Elephas maximus indicus: one gene and its partner. The protein of the gene in region 1 purifies or fractionates together with the protein of each later gene. This does not show direct contact. Links are inferred from orthologs where the notes say so. Each region holds a gene or a part of one and is shown on either strand. Other genes may lie near its edges.

Evidence for each region. Proteins that work in one complex are often made in the same cells at the same time.
Region 2: the proteins of CTCF (region 1) and RPL28 purify together in Homo sapiens (affinity purification with mass spectrometry; 3 studies listed by BioGRID and IntAct, with this or other methods). This does not show direct contact. The link is inferred for Elephas maximus indicus from reciprocal best matches to the Homo sapiens genes CTCF and RPL28.

The regions. Positions count from the first base shown.
Region 1 is NC_064839.1:34,059,633-34,066,778, reverse strand, and holds the start of CTCF (transcriptional repressor CTCF), read right to left. Parts: upstream 3,012-7,146; 5' UTR 2,804-3,011; intron 1,717-2,803; exon of another isoform or gene 1,633-1,716; intron 1-1,632.
Region 2 is NC_064829.1:91,615,180-91,623,165, forward strand, and holds the start of RPL28 (60S ribosomal protein L28), read right to left. Parts: upstream 3,020-7,986; 5' UTR 2,918-3,019; intron 2,578-2,917; 5' UTR 2,570-2,577; coding exon 2,489-2,569; intron 2,264-2,488; coding exon 2,140-2,263; intron 239-2,139; coding exon 120-238; intron 1-119. Other genes in the region: TMEM238 (transmembrane protein 238), read left to right, coding at 5,417-5,947.

The DNA.
Region 1 (7,146 bases):
AAATCTTAGTTGTTTGAAAAGAGATTTAATTTTTGGCAAAACAGTCTGAAGTCACTTGAACCCAAAATAAATAAGGTAGAAAAATGGCCAAGTTACATTTCTGATTTTTAAAAAATGAGATGCAGCTATTAAGTAACGAACTTGATGTAGATTGGCTTCAATGCCAGCAGCATTCCTGAAGAAAGAAACCTTGCTCTTGTGGTGACTTTCTGCCAGCAGGCATTTCTGTCCAAAGCTCTGCCACAGCACTCCTCCCTAGGGCCCCAGTCAGCCACAGGTGGCCTCTGCCACACCCAAGGAACTCCCCAAACCATGAGAGAAGTCCCAGGTGGATACCCTCATTTTTGTATGTCCTTTAAAACAAAAACTGAACACTCAATTCTTAGAATTTGGATGGCCCTTAAGGGTAACTTTTACAGGTCCTAAGTTTTCTTATGTAGGTTAAATGGATTCCTATGGGTAACTTTTACAACTGCTCTTAAGTAAGCAATATTTTTTTACATAGGCAGACATTCCTGTTGTAACCTTCCTCATACTACTGATTTAAATAGTAAATTCCTTTGGGTTACCTCATATTCTCAATTTATTCTCTCTGTAGATTTAGTTTTCCAATAAAAACAGAGCATCAAGAATCTCAAAGGATGACAACTGTGTGGACAAGGTGCATGGTTTATACCATTTACACCATTAAGACAGTATAAATGTGTAAGATCAGGAAGACGATGACTGCACACGGGACAACCGAAGAGAGGAGCCAAGTGTGGTCTGCGCGGTGGAGCAGAACGCTAATCTAGGAATGCTTTACTCCTGGGTCAACTAAAGACTTTGTGGATTTTAATTTTTTTTTACCCATATGCAGAGCTCATTTTAATAAAATAAGCCATAGGCCCTCACAGTTTCAAAAGAAAAATAAAACCGAGAACCATAAAACACAAAAAATTGTACAAATGGATTAAGACATTAGACAATTAGAGGTGGTTCTATTCCCGAGTCCAACACTCCACCAAAATTACTGGCACGTAGTTACTTAGCGTTGATTTTATTGAGAGGCAGGACCATTTTCTATGGTTGTAAAAAGAGATGCTGAAATACTCTTCTACAGAGGCAGACTGCTGCAAAACCTACAGATTAAGATTACATACAGTGGACCCAATGAATTTGTTTAGCACCGGCCTGTTTTAATTTCCTCATAAGCTTAACAGTTTTTCTTCCTAATAAAAAAAAGTTAATCTAGACTTTCTTCTCTCCAAAGTCACCCAAGTTAATACATCAGCTGCTGCACAGCACTATAGTAAGTTACTAAAATAAAAAAAAAACGCAAAAAGAGAAAACATAGGTTGTTCAACAGGAAGTTTTGAAAGATGCAAGACTTAAAAACAAAGTAAGTTTAAATACATGCCCTGTTGAATTTCTTTTTCCGCCCACAGGGACGCGGAATTTTAGCTTTCCTAATTGATCTAAACTCAAAGCAAGCATGAAAACACATATATGTGTATGTTTACTTAATGCCGATCTCAGACCTACAAGAAGTTAACTACTAACAGGCATAGATATTTATAAACCATCTGCACCGAGTGACCCAGGATTCAATTACAACATCAACCCTCATATTTCAGCGTATGGGCAAATTACCAGTCCAGTCAAGAATAAATTCATTCTGCTCTACTGGCGCTTTAGATCGAGTTGCACAATCCCAGGACAGAACTGCTTTCGCCCAGCCCTAGAGCATCAGGTACTAAGTGGTGTACAGTAAATTAACATCAAGACATTTTAAAGCGGGAGCCAAACTTAGGGGTTGCTTGAACTTAGCCCGTACTCGCGAATTCAGGAATTTGTCACTGTCACTTGAGATCAGAGTGAAATTAAGTTCCAATCCCTTTGAGATCTCTTAGCGCACAAAGTCAGGCTGCTATCACTCTAAGGAGCTATTTGGTGCGGAACTCGCGCGCGTCTTTTCCAGCCACCATGGGGCCGCACCCGCTGAGTCGCGCGAGGAGCCCCGGCGCGAGTTTGGGGGCTCAGCGGGGCCCAGCGGGGGCGGCGAGCGCGCGTCCCCCCGCCCGCTCAGGCGGCGTTGAGGCGCGAGCAGCTCAGCCAGCCTTGCAGAGGGAGCTCTCGGCAGCGCTGGGGCCCCTCTGCTCGCAGCCGCAGCAGCGCCGCCTGCGCCACTCGGCGGAGACGGAGACAAGCGGCGACGGCGTGCAGACTGGGAGCGACCGCCCAGCAGCCAAGCGGCGGGGGACGCACACAGGCGGCCCGGTAGGCTCCGGGGACCCGGCGGGCGGAAGGATGGGCAACCCGGAACGCGTCGGCCAGGGTCTGACACCCATACTGGACGGAGATCCGACTGCGCGCATGGTGGTAGCGGTCCGGACCCTTGGGCGAGGCGGTTGCGGAAGCCAGGGCGAAGAGGTCGCTTCTCGGTTGGGGCCACCCGTCGCGGGAGGGGCGGAGGACACAGGGCGGGCCGCGGCCGGGCAATCGGCCGGGCCAAGAGCCGGCCTCGAGGGCAGAGACAAAGGAAGGAAAATGGAGTCGCCGGGCGCGCGGGCCTCGGTCGCCGCCACCGCCCGAGGCCTATCGCGCCGCCAGGAGGGAGGCCCAGCGGGCGGGCGAGGGGGGGCAGGCCGGGCCGCGGCGACGGGCAATGGCGGCGGCCGCGCCGCAGCAGGGACGGTAGAGGGAGACAAACACCCCCCGGCGGCGGCGCTGGCGCCGGGCTGCAGCCAGCGCCGACCGGAGCGGCCCCATCGTGACACCTAGAGGCGGCCCGCGAAACCTCCTCCACCCCGGGCCCCCTTACCTCCGCGCCACACCCCCCGCGGCGCCCGCTCCGCCGCCGCTCCCCCGCTCCGGCCACCCGGCGTCCCCGGCCAGCTCCGCGCGTCTGCACCGGCCACCGCCACCGTCGCTGCCGCCAAAGAAGCAGCTCCGCGCACGGTTTAATCGCTCCACAGGCTCGGACACAAAATGGCGGCGGCGCGGTGAAGTGCGCCTGCGTCGGCGCTGCCGGGGCCGCGGGTGCTGATAAGGGAAGGGACGGGTGGGGGGGCCGGCCGGGCGGCGAGGGGAAGGCGGGGGAGGAAAGGTGAGGGGAGGGGTTGGCGCGGGGCAGCATGGGAGGCGGCCCCGGGCGCCAACTTTCAAAACCCGGCGCGATGGCGTCACGGGACGCGCCCGGAGTCGCGTCACGCCGCACGCGCCCTCCCGCGCCCTCGCCCGTCACGCGTGGGCCCTGTGGGCGTCGTGCCATCCGGGTCCTGCTGGGCGGGGCTTTTTGGGGCCCAGGCCGCAACTTTTGGGCTGTCCCGGGTCCCCGGCGCTCTTGACCTGGTTTCCTGGCTGCAGCCTCCAGCACCCGGAACCCCGGGAGATTTGCGGGGGCGGGGAAGGGAAAGCTGTAGGAAGCGCGCGCGAGGCCGAACCGTGAGGCTGAGGCGGCTCCTGGGCCCAGCCCCGCCCCAGTCCCCGCCTAGCCGGGCCGAACCCGGCCTCCGAACGCCGTGTCGTGGGCTGCCACGGAGAAAGGCTCAGCTTGTCCCAGCGCGCTCCCATCTCCCCAGCCTGGATCCAGCACCTGAAAACGGCGAAGGAGGGCTGTCCTTGCCCAGCGACATTTGGTTTACTTTTTCCGCCCTAGAGGAGGGCCTCCTGAAACCAGGTGCGAGAGAGGAGGGTGAAGACCTCCACTCGGTGACCCACAGCCCACCTCAGCCCAGAGAGGCCAGCTTAAGACCAGACTTGAGGATTTTACAAGACCAGAGCGGTCCGTCTTTTGCTGAAAGGATATTTTGTGTATTCGGTGCAGTGTAATTTTGTATTTTAAAACGTGGATTTCTGTCTTTGCCTATGAGCTTCTAAGTTGTCTGTGGGCGGAGTCCTTCAGCACTGAATAGTGTGGCCGCCTCCCCTTTCCCCAGCTTGCACTTGTGGACCTTAAGCGGCCAGCGAAAATGTTGACTGAGGACTGCCTGGAAGGTGTTCCGGTGTCTTCGTGAGAAGATCCCTTTAGTGCTTCTGAGAATCTGACTCAGGACTGTATTGTCAACCCCCTTACCTAGATATCACGGATAACAAATGGACTCAGCGTCAAGGGGGCAGCATTTGCTCCACTCAGTCGATTGTTCCGTTATGATAATGCCGGCCCAGTATTGACAAGTCCTCTGGTTTCTTTCAAGAGACCCAGGCATATGGTTTTTTAAATATAATTCTCCAGGTTTTCAGATGGTCATGGTGGTGCATTGGTTAAGCTCTGGGCTGCTACCGGAACTGCCAGCTGCTCTGCAGCAGAAAAGACCTGGCCTCTCCAGTAAAGACTTCACCTAGAAAACCCTTTGGGGCAGTTCTGCCCTGTCCTGTAGGGTGCTATGAATTGTAATCAGATCGATGGCAAACAACTAAAGTAGATGTTTTTAAACTACATGATATTAAAGCACACATCTGAGCTGTCAATTTCTGGTCTCTGACTTCAAGATCATCTCGGGCACTCCAGTATTTAGAGATAGGTTAATGGAGGACACAGAGTGATCAACCAGGAAGGTAGAAGGAAATCCATGATAGTGTTGAGTTGTGGAATCCAAAGGCAGAGAGGGTTTCAGGAAGGAGAGGAATGGTCAGTTGTGTTTAGTGTTACTGAGAGGTCTGGTAAACTTGGGCCAGAGATATGGCTAATGAATTGGTCACTTTGGAGGTCACTGGAGGATATTGATGGCCTTGGCTAGATTAGCTTTGGTAAATTGGAAGGTGGACCTGACTAAAGTGGGTTGAAAAGTGAATGGGAAAGTGAAGAAATAGAGACAGCACATATAAGCAACTTAAGACAAGTTTTTTTGTCAAAGGGAACAGAGAAATTTGGGGATAACTGTAGAAGGACATGGGCCAAGGGAGAGAATGCTTTAATAGATAGTAGAGTTCTAGAGTGTGATTGTGTGCTGTGGAGAGGGTGATGGTGATGGGTGATGCAGAAAAGAGAAGATTTGACAGTAGGAGTGAAATCCATGAAAGATATGAGCAAACAGGGTTCATAGCACCTGAAGAGGATTGACCTTGGATAGGAACAAGGATGCTTTTACCATGATAATAAGGTGACAAAAGTGAAGAGGCTTGCCAGTGCAGGGGAGAGGGAAAGCAAGTTTACTGTGTAAACCTAGCAGGACTGCCTTGGCATTGGGTACCGATTTGAGGTTTGTGATCATGAGTTTAAAGTTAAACCACTTGACCCAGTTGTGTGGTTTTCCTCCAGCAGCATTCAACTGCTTGAGAACAGGCATGAAGAAAAGAGATATGGTTTTTTAACACAAGTACAGTACCCAGGTACTTGCTTTATGCAATTAGATGCTCTTCTAGAAATGTGTCAAGTCTTTAGAAAATTAACATGTGACTCCTATCTTTCTAGAAACCAAATTATACTATTTGTCTTTTATGTTCACATTAAGACTTAACTATAATGAAAAGACAAACTTAGAGAAAAATTACCGGGTAACTCTGGGATATTTGCATTTTGCATTTCTTCACCCCCCCGCACCCCCACCCCAAATAGTTCCTGGTATAATTAGGAATAGCAAAGCTGACTTCCTCTAAATTGTTAGCTTCTTTTTTTTTTTTTTTTTATTAACTTTTATTGAGCTTCAAGTGAACGTTTACAAATCAAGTCAGTCTGTCACATATAAGTTCATATACATCTTACTCCTTACTCCCACTTGCTCTCCCCCTAATGAGTCAGCCTGTTAGCCTCTTTTGGGCATCATTAATAATCTATTCACTATCTTTTAGAACTTTATCTCAAACCATTATTATCTTCCTATCTTTAAGAGTAAGCTACATCCACATTGTATGTTAGTTTGTTGTAGACAGCATATAGTTGGGTCTTTTTTTTTTTTTTTAATCCACTGTCAATTTCTGTTTAATTGGTGAATTTGGGCTTTTTTATTTAGTGTAATTGTTGATATGTTAGAGCTTAAGTCTTCCATTTTGTTTTTTGTTTCCTGTTCCTTGTTTTCTGTTTTATTTTTCCTATCTTTCTGTGGGTTACTAAAACATTTTTTAGACTTCCATTTTAATTTACATATAGTGCTTGGAGTGCATCTCTTTGTATAATTACAGGAACATCTTCTAAACTTTTAGTGTGAGCAAATATAAGATGATGTATTCAGGGGGAAGAATGTCATCTGTATTTACAACTACATGACCTGTGAGTTACCAGTTAGAAGCAAGAAATGGGGTCCAGGTGGCCTTGGAGTCTGCTTTCTGAAGACAAAGACTCCATTGGCCACTGTGGCACAAGGATGAGAAAATGCTGAGGATCACTAGGAAGGAACCAAAGGAAATGCTTTCTTCTTGTAGGAAGTCATGGTGTGTCTTACTTCGTGGTATTAGCTACATGGGGATCTCTAGATGGGAAACTCCAGAGATCTGGTTACTTATTTAACTTAAATGTTTAATATTACCAGCTCTGGATGCTGGAGTCATTGTTCTGGATTCAGGTCCTGTCTTGGTGCCTTGTTAGCTTTGTGGTGTCAGGTGAATTATCAACTACCCAGCTGTAGGTTTCTCCTCTAAAAAAGCATGATAATTGTACAACTTCACGTAATGGTAAGGATTAAATGAGAAAATGCAAGTAAAGCTTTTGGCATAGTTCTAGGCACCAGTAATCATACAGTAATGTAAACTGTTATAATTTATTTTATTTTTGTGCTTCAATTACCTACTTTTCACTCCTAGCTCTGCCTTCTGATTGAACATAGGCTTTCTAGGTTTATTAGTAGAATCAGTTAAGTTACTGACTAGGGTTTCTCTGACCTGGTGCCTCTTCTTTCTGGGAAAGGCATACTTGGTGCTATGATTCTCAGAGATCTCTTGCCAAGATCTTCCTTGGCTCCCACTGTTGCCCTCTTTAAAGCTTGCAATAATTGTGATCATTTATATGTTTTGAACTGTTTAAGCAAGATAATTGATAAATGGAGGATGTGTTTATTTTCTACATAACAATGGGGTAAGGCCTAAAGTTAGACCTGAACGCTCCTGCTGCCTCTGTGCTTATTGGAGGACACGTGTAAGACGTGATCAATTCAGCAACCATTTATTGAGTACATGCTGTGTGCAGCTCCCTCTGCTAGGCATTGGGAATACAAAGAGGGCCCACGGTGT
Region 2 (7,986 bases), on another chromosome or scaffold:
AGACTCTCCCAAACCAGCCATTCAAGTGTAGTCCACTGATCTCTCCCATCCCCAAACACAGCTCCTGGGTAGTGAGAAACACAGGGCACCTCAGGGTTCACCCACTGGGCCCCGCTTACCATGCGCAGATCGGGGCGGTACTTATTCTTGCGAATCATGTGGCGGATGCTGCTCAGAGTGGCCCGGGCGTTCTTGTTAATGGTGGTCCGCACGTAAGAGGTGGCTGGCTTCCGCTGGCCTGGGAGGAAGGGTCACCCATTGGTCAGTGGGACTGTGAAGCCTTGGGTGTCCCTCCCAGGTGTAAGGAGGCCACCTGACTCCCCTCCCCTCCCCCAGCCTCCTCAGGCAGGACCAGCAGCCACTCTACCACTCGAGTGGTGATCACCTTGGGGCAGGGCAGCCCTGGGCACTTCTCATCCATCTCATCCTCACGGTAACCCTAGCACAGCAGCTATCTCCACTTTCCTTGAAAGGATGAAATGGCCAACATGGAGGTGACAATACTCTTATTCATGGTCACATGCGTAAAGCATGGTTGCAAATTTTGGAATCTAAGCCACCTGACCCCAAAACTCCATGCTACAGGTGAAGCAGGTGCACTGTGCCGGCCAGGTCGTGAGCGCACCAGAGCATTAGTAGAGAGAGAGACAAGCAAGGGTGCACTAACCATAAGCTGGGACACAAAAGTCTTTGTAAGTTCTCTCTTCTTTGGGGTATGTTTAACTCTAGTGGGAATGCTATTTCAACTTACAAATTGTATGTTAAATATACTTCAATTTCTTTAAAAAAAAAAAAAAGGCAAGACTGCAGCTCTGGCCTTCTGTCCCCTCCTCCCCAGGGCCTGGAGTAACAAGAGAGGGTACTGAACACAGGGTGTGAGGAAGAGCCCTGGCCCTCATCTGTGCTAACAGCAATCACAAAGAAACAACCTCCCACGCCCCTGCACACCCACCTGTGGAAATACCTCCCTCCCTTTCTTGTGCCATGGCCACCAGACTCCCAGTCAAGACCTGAAACCAGGCAGCCCCAATGGGGGCTGCAGTTAGAACCCTGTGCTCCTGGTGACAGATGTCTCTGCAGAGCTCTCCTCCAGAGGACATGCCCCACCCGCCATCCCGAGGCTTTGATAGACTTGATGGAGTTCCTTAAACCCAACCCCTAAAGTTGTTAGGTGCCTTTGAGTCAATTCAACTTATACCAACCCCGTGCAAAAGAGCAGAACCGCCCTATAAGGTTTTCTAGGTTGTAATCTTTACAGGAGCAAATGACCAGGTCTTTCTGCTGTGCAGTGGCTGGTGGGTTCGGACCTCCAACCTTCTGGTTAGCAGCCAACTGCTTAACCACTGTACCACCAGGCCCCAAAGTAGGGACTGCTATACTCCTCACGCCAATCCAGTCCCTTAAAACACAAGGAAAGCCACCCTTTTCTTTAGGAACCCAAGAGAGGAAAACAAGGTTTTCAGGACCCAGCACGTCAGAACTCAGAAGTGGAAGAACCTGTGGCAGCTAGGACCAAGGAATGTTCCTGAACAAGACCTGAACGGAAACCAGCCCCATGCAAGCATCTGGGAAAGCCAACTCATTCCTACATTCTCAAGCACAAGGGTGTAACGGGACACCCCATGACTCAACTGTTAGCCCAGGAGATTCCTGCCTCCCAGACCTTTCCCCAGCCCACACACGCTCAGAGACCCTAAACAAGGCCCCACCTGTGCCTAAGTCAGTTTATAAAGGAGGTGCCCAGGACCCTTCTCTGAATCCACACACAGGCAGGCTGGTGGTCAAACTAAACCGCTTGGTTCCAAACCAGCCTGTAATTGCTACATGTGGCAACTCCAGTCTCATCTGTGAGGTGGACACATCCACCTCCATCTCAGATTTGAGAATTTAACCTGAAAATATCTCATCATCATGTACTTTAATTCTCACAGCCACCCACTGAAGTTCACGTTCCAACAGCTTCTCCACTTTACAGATGAGAACCAGGCTAAGTGACCTGTTGTGGCAGATGGAAGCTGGCCTCCCAAGCCAATATCCTAACCCAGGTATTCTCAAACTCTGGTAGAATTACTCCTGTTGCCTGAGTCCCTGGGGCAAAAGGGGGCCTGATGTCCATGTCAACCCAGGGCCAATGCTCACCCGATCTCCGCTTCAGGACCACCACGACCCCTTTGCCATCTGCTGCCGGCTCCACGCCCACAGTCTTGCGGTGAATCAGCCCGTTGTAGCGGAAGGAGTTGCGGGCTTTCAGGTTATTGGGCTCCTGGGGATGGGGCATCAGGATGGTGAAGAGGAAACTAGAGATGCGTGGGGGTCCTTCCTCAGGTCCAAAACCAGGGTCCAGGCCCCCTTCTTCCGGAATCCGGGCCCCCAGAACCCATCACTCTCAGACCCGGGAGTCCTGGGCCCAAGCCTACTGCTCCCTCAAACCGCGAGTCCCGGCCCGAACCCTTTCTCCCTCAGACCCAGCGCTCTGGGCCCCACTTACAGTGCTATACGTCTGCTTGTTCCTCTTGATCAGGAAACTGGAGCAGTTCCGCACAACCATCCATTGCAGATGTGCTGACATGGCGCCAGCTGCGAAGAAATGGGACACGTGAACGATCTCAAGCGGAAAAGTAGGCCGACGTCGTATGATTGGGAACTTGGGTGAATGGGGAACCCCTGAATGCAGACAGCAATCCAGAACTGTCATGCGCGGCTGAACTCAGGCAGCCGAGACTAACTGCGGGGCATGGTGGGGGGGGGGAGAAAGTAAGACCACAGTGATTTCCGGCGGAGGGGCTGGGAGGCAGTCGAGGACCCTCCGGCCTCGGAGGCGCGATGGGAGAAGCCGGGCGGGGGAAGGGGGCAGAGACTACAGACGGCGGGCACCAGACGGCGACCACGCCGGGCGCAAGGAACGAAGCACTCTAACCTCCTCTCTTCGCGGCTGCCGGAGACGGAAAGAGGCAGGCAGGGGGCGGGGCGACTCCTTTAATACCACACACGCATTTCCGCTTCCGCTCTGTTCAAGCCTGTGAAACCGCCTGTCCCCGCCTCCTCCTTCTCTCTGGCACCGCCTCCAAGGTCGCTCGGTAATCTTCGGCTATTTCCGCCAAAAAGACGCGCACTGCTCGAAAATCCTTGTAACTCTTTGGATAGGAAACGGAAGGCGAGTTCCCCAGACGTAGAAAGTCTCTGTCCCGAAGATCATTCGGGAGTTTTCGGAACCTCTCGGCTGGATTTTCGAGTGGTCCATTTAGAAAGCTTCGAGTTCCCCGAGTCCCATTCCACAGGCGGCTCCTTCCAGTGCGCTTGGCACTATGCTTGGCATATGATGGGCGCCCAATAAATAAATATTCGTTTTATGAATGAATGTTTGAATGAGTTAAACCAAAAAACCCAACCCGCTGCCGTGAAGTCGATTCCGACTCATAGCGAATGAGTTAACTATTAAGTCTCGCTCAAGCGTCTTCGGACACTTCTGGTCTTCTTTCGTAAGCCCTCGGCTGTTCCCGACGAAGGCACCCAGGCTCGTTCGGCATTTTCGGAACTCTCCGGAAACGCTCTCCGTCGTGGCCTCCGCTTTCCCTTATTCGCCCATGCCGGCTTCGGGTTTGCTCGGTCCCCATTCGGCCACGCTCGGAAACCTTCGGCTAATCCCAGCAACTTCCTCTTAGTTCTCCCTCCCCAGGTTCCTCCTAAACTGCTGAGTCTGGGGAGAACCTAGGCGGAACCTCCTTGCAGGCTGCCATCCCAGGGGAGCATAGATTTCCCTAAAGGGCGAGTTGTTTGGAGGAGAAGAAATTTACACGTGAAAGCTTCTGTTCAATTTAGGGGTTCAATACGCGCCCTGCGCTCCTATCCCCATTCGCCCTTCCAGTCCCCATCACCCCTTCCAGGCTGCCCTATGTTGTGTGCCGTCGAGTCGATTACGACTCATGGTGACCCCATGTAATAGAGTAGAACTGCCCCACAGGGTTTCTTCATGGGAGTCGATCACCAGGTCCTTCTTCTGCGGAGCCCCTTGGTGCGTTCGAACCCCTGACTTTTCGTTTAGCAGCTGACCGCTTAACCATTGCGCCACCAGTGTGCCTTCCGATATGTTTCATCCTCCATTCAACTTCCTGGAAGTTTATTTTCTTTTGCCAGAGTCATCCTTAAGGGCCAGGGACGGCGCCTGTTGTAGTTCCGTGTCCTCAGTAGCTGGCACTGGGGATGCCTCAAGGGACTCTTACCAAAACAGCAAGGACAATGCCTTATACCACCTCCGTTTGCGCACGTGGAATGGTGATGACGTCTGGGAACTCCAGGGCCTCCTTGTTGGATCCATCTCTGTGCACTTGGGCTTCACCCACAAGGAGTCCTGGACAGTTCAGGGGCCTCAGGAGAAAGCTTCTGAGCAAACCTGAGTGCCCTGTGCCACCTCCGCTGGAGCTCTGAATCTGATGATCAGTGAGACCCACCAATCTCTGTGCCTGTGGTTTCATTCATTATGAGGCAGGCACGCAGTGACAGAAACAGAAAGAAATTCTCGGCTCCTGCAGAGTCCGCATTTCCTTTGATTCTAGCACTCTGACTTCATTCCCTGCATCCCAGAGTTCCTTGGGGTACAGGTAGGTGTCTTGTCTGTTTTTTGTTTTGTTTTGTTTTGTTTGCCTTCCCCTATCCCCACTATAGAACCCTGGTGGCACAGTGTTTAGGAGCTCAGCTTCTAACCAAAACGTGGGCAGTTCAAATTCACCAGCCGCTCCTCGGAAACCCTATGCGGCAGTTCTACTCTGTCCTATAGGATCACTGTGAGTCAGAATCGACTCGATGACAAAAGCGCTTAGTTGTTTTTTTTGTTTTGTTTTTAATTTATCCCCCCCTCCCAATTTTTTTTTATAGGTTTTTTTTTTTTTTTTTTTTTTTTATATAGGTGCCTGGGTGATGCAAACGGTTCTAATCCACTCAGCTGTGCTGCGGAAAAGGCCTGGCGACCTGCTTCCCGTATAAATTACAGCCAGAAACCCTACGGAGCACAGTTCTAGTCTGACACACATAGGGTCCCCATGAGTCAGAATGGACCCCACAGCAACAGGTTTGGTTTTTGGTATCCCTACCACCAGGCTTGGCGCATAGGAGGCCTCAGGAAGCTGCACTGCACAGTAACAGCGCCCTGGTTTCCCGCAGTGCCCTATGCTGCCTCCTTTAGGGCCCCCTGGATTTTGACTACGTGTTGCTTCGGGGTGCAGGGGCCCTGGGCCACCCATATCTGCGCGCCCGGCTGCTCCAGCACAGAAACGACCTCCAGAGAGCCTCCGAGCCCGGCCCGTGGGCGCTCAGGTGACCAGGCGGGTGCCCTGCATACCTGGCGCAGTCCACTGACCCCGCCCCGGGACAGGCCGCACCCGGAACCCTCTCGCGGAGCCAGCGGCGGCGGCGCAGGGCCATGGCGGCGACGGCGGCGTGCACCCCGCCGGGGCCGGCGCCCGGAGCCCCATCCCCGCCGGCGGCCGCACCCGCGCCCGCGTCAGGCCTGGGCCGCTGCCGGATGGCGTTGCTGCTGGCGGTGGCTCTGGACGTGGCGGGCATGGCGGCGCTGCTGACCGGCGTGTTCGCGCAGCTTCAAGTGCGCGGCCGCGACTTCGGCGACCTGCTCATCTACTCGGGCGCACTGCTCGTCTTCCTGAGCCTGCTCGGCTGGATCCTCTGGTACACCGGCAACATCGAGATTTCACGCCAGGAGCTCGAGCGCGACTACGGCCTGCGGCCCTCGGCGCTCGCCCGCCTCGCGCGCAAGATCTCCCGCCGCTGGTCTGCGCCGGCCTCCTCGGCCGCCGCGCGCGCCGCGACCGGGATCCGAGGAGCGCGCCGCGCGGCCCGCGCGCCCCTGCCGCCCGCCGCCGGCTCCCGCCGCGTGCGCCTGCAGCTTGCCACGCTCGAGGCCGGACACGGAGCGGCGGGCACCGGCCCCGAGTGAGCCAGGTAAGGGGCACGGAGGAGAGACGGGGTGAGGGGCGAGGGAAGAGATGAAGAGACGGCAGGAGGAGATGAAGAGACTGTGGGAAGGGATGGGGAGACACTGAGGGAGAGATGAGACTTTTGGGGGAGATGGAAGAGAGCTGAGATGGAGAGACAGTGGGGACAGAGGGACGGCGAGGAGAGACAGAGGAAATATTGGGAAGAGACATTAGGGAGAGATGGGGAGACAGCTGGGAGAGTTGGAGGGGCAGCTGGAGAAATGGAGAAGAGAGACAGCAGGGGGAGAGAGAAAAGCCCAGATGGAGGCTCAGAGAGAGAGAATGACACAGGAGGAAGTGAATACTCCCAAGGAGAGAAGCAGAGACTCAGAAGGATACAGATGCAGGGAGAGTCTAAGGCTGGGTGGGTGGGGGGGCGGGGTGCAGACTTGGGAGACTCAGAGGAGACACTGCCCCCCCGCCCAGATGAGGCAGGGAGATTCCAGGTTAGCTCCCCACAACGCTTGGAAGTCCCTCCACTGCAGCCAGCTGCCAGGCACACCAACCTCCATTTAACACTCTCAGGGTAACTGGGTCTATGGGGCCCTTGCTATTAGTCCATCCCGACTCCACGGTGGAAGAAACTGAGCCCCAGAAAGGTACCACCTTTTGCCTAAGGCCGTGCTGCTTGTAAGTGGAGGAGCTGGGATCCTACTGACTAGCGGTCCAACTAGAGCTGGAAAGGAGTGATAACAACAGAGACATTCAAGGAAAGCCCAATGCTCAAGCTCCTCCCTTCCTCCTTGTTGTCCTGTCTTTCCTCAGCCTTCTATCCCCTTTCCTAAACGTACACTTTCCAGCTTGCCTTCCTCTGCTCAAAGCCCTGCTGTAGCTCCCTATTGCCCTCTGGTGAAATCCAAGCCCCAAGTGGGTCCCCTGCAATACAGCCTCTCTGCAGTTATTGCATCTCTCAACCCACACACCTCGAGCCTCTTTCACACCAGTTAGCCTCTGTCCATGCTCTTCTCTGCACCAGGCATGCCCTTTCTGTCTCTATTCCACCCAGAAAGCTTCCCACATGTTCTTTAAGATCCAACTCAGCTTCTCTTCTCTGAGCCTCCATAACTTGTCTGTTATTGTTAGGTGCCATCAAGTGGGTTCCGACTCATAGCAACCCTGTGTACAACAGAACGTAACACTGCCCGGTCCTGCGCCATCCTCACAATCGTTGTTATGCTTGAGCCCATTGTTGCAATCACTGTGTCAATCCATTTCATTGAGGGTCTTCCTCTACTTTACCAAGTGTGATGTCCTTCTCTAGGGACTGGATCCTCCTGATAGCATGTCCAGAGTACATGAGATGTAGTCTTGCCATCCTTGCTTCTAAGGAACATTCTGGCTGTGCTTCTTCCAAGACAGATTTTGGCAGTCCATGGTATAGTCAATATTCTTCACCAACAGCACAGTTCAAAGGCATCAATTCTTCAGTTTTCCTTATTCATCGTCCAGCTTTCACATGTGTATCAGGCTATTGAAAACAAGGTGGTTTGGGTCAGGCGCACCTTAGTCTTCAAGATGACATCTTTGCTTTTCAACACTTTAAAGAGGTCTTTTGCAGCAGATTTACCCAATGCAACGCGTCTTTTGATTTTTTTTTTAATTTTTATTGTGCTTTAAGTGAAAGTTTACAAATCAAGTCAGCCTCCCATACAAAAATTTATATACACCTTGCTCTGTACTCCTAGTTGCTCTCCCCCCAATGAGACAGCACACTCCTTCTCTCCACTCTTTATTTTTGTGTCCATTCAGCCAGCTTCTGACCCCCTCTGCCCTCTCATATCCCCTCCAGACAGGAGCTGCCCACATAGTCTCATGTGTCTACTTAATCCAAGAAGCTCACTCCTCACCAGTATCATTTTCTATCCCATAGTCCAGTCCAATCCCTGTCTGAACAGTTGGCTTTGGGAATGGTTCCTGTCTTGGGCTAACAGAAGGTCTGGGGACCATGACCTCTGGGGTCCTTCTAGTCTTAGTCAGACCATTGTTGTTGTTGTTAGGT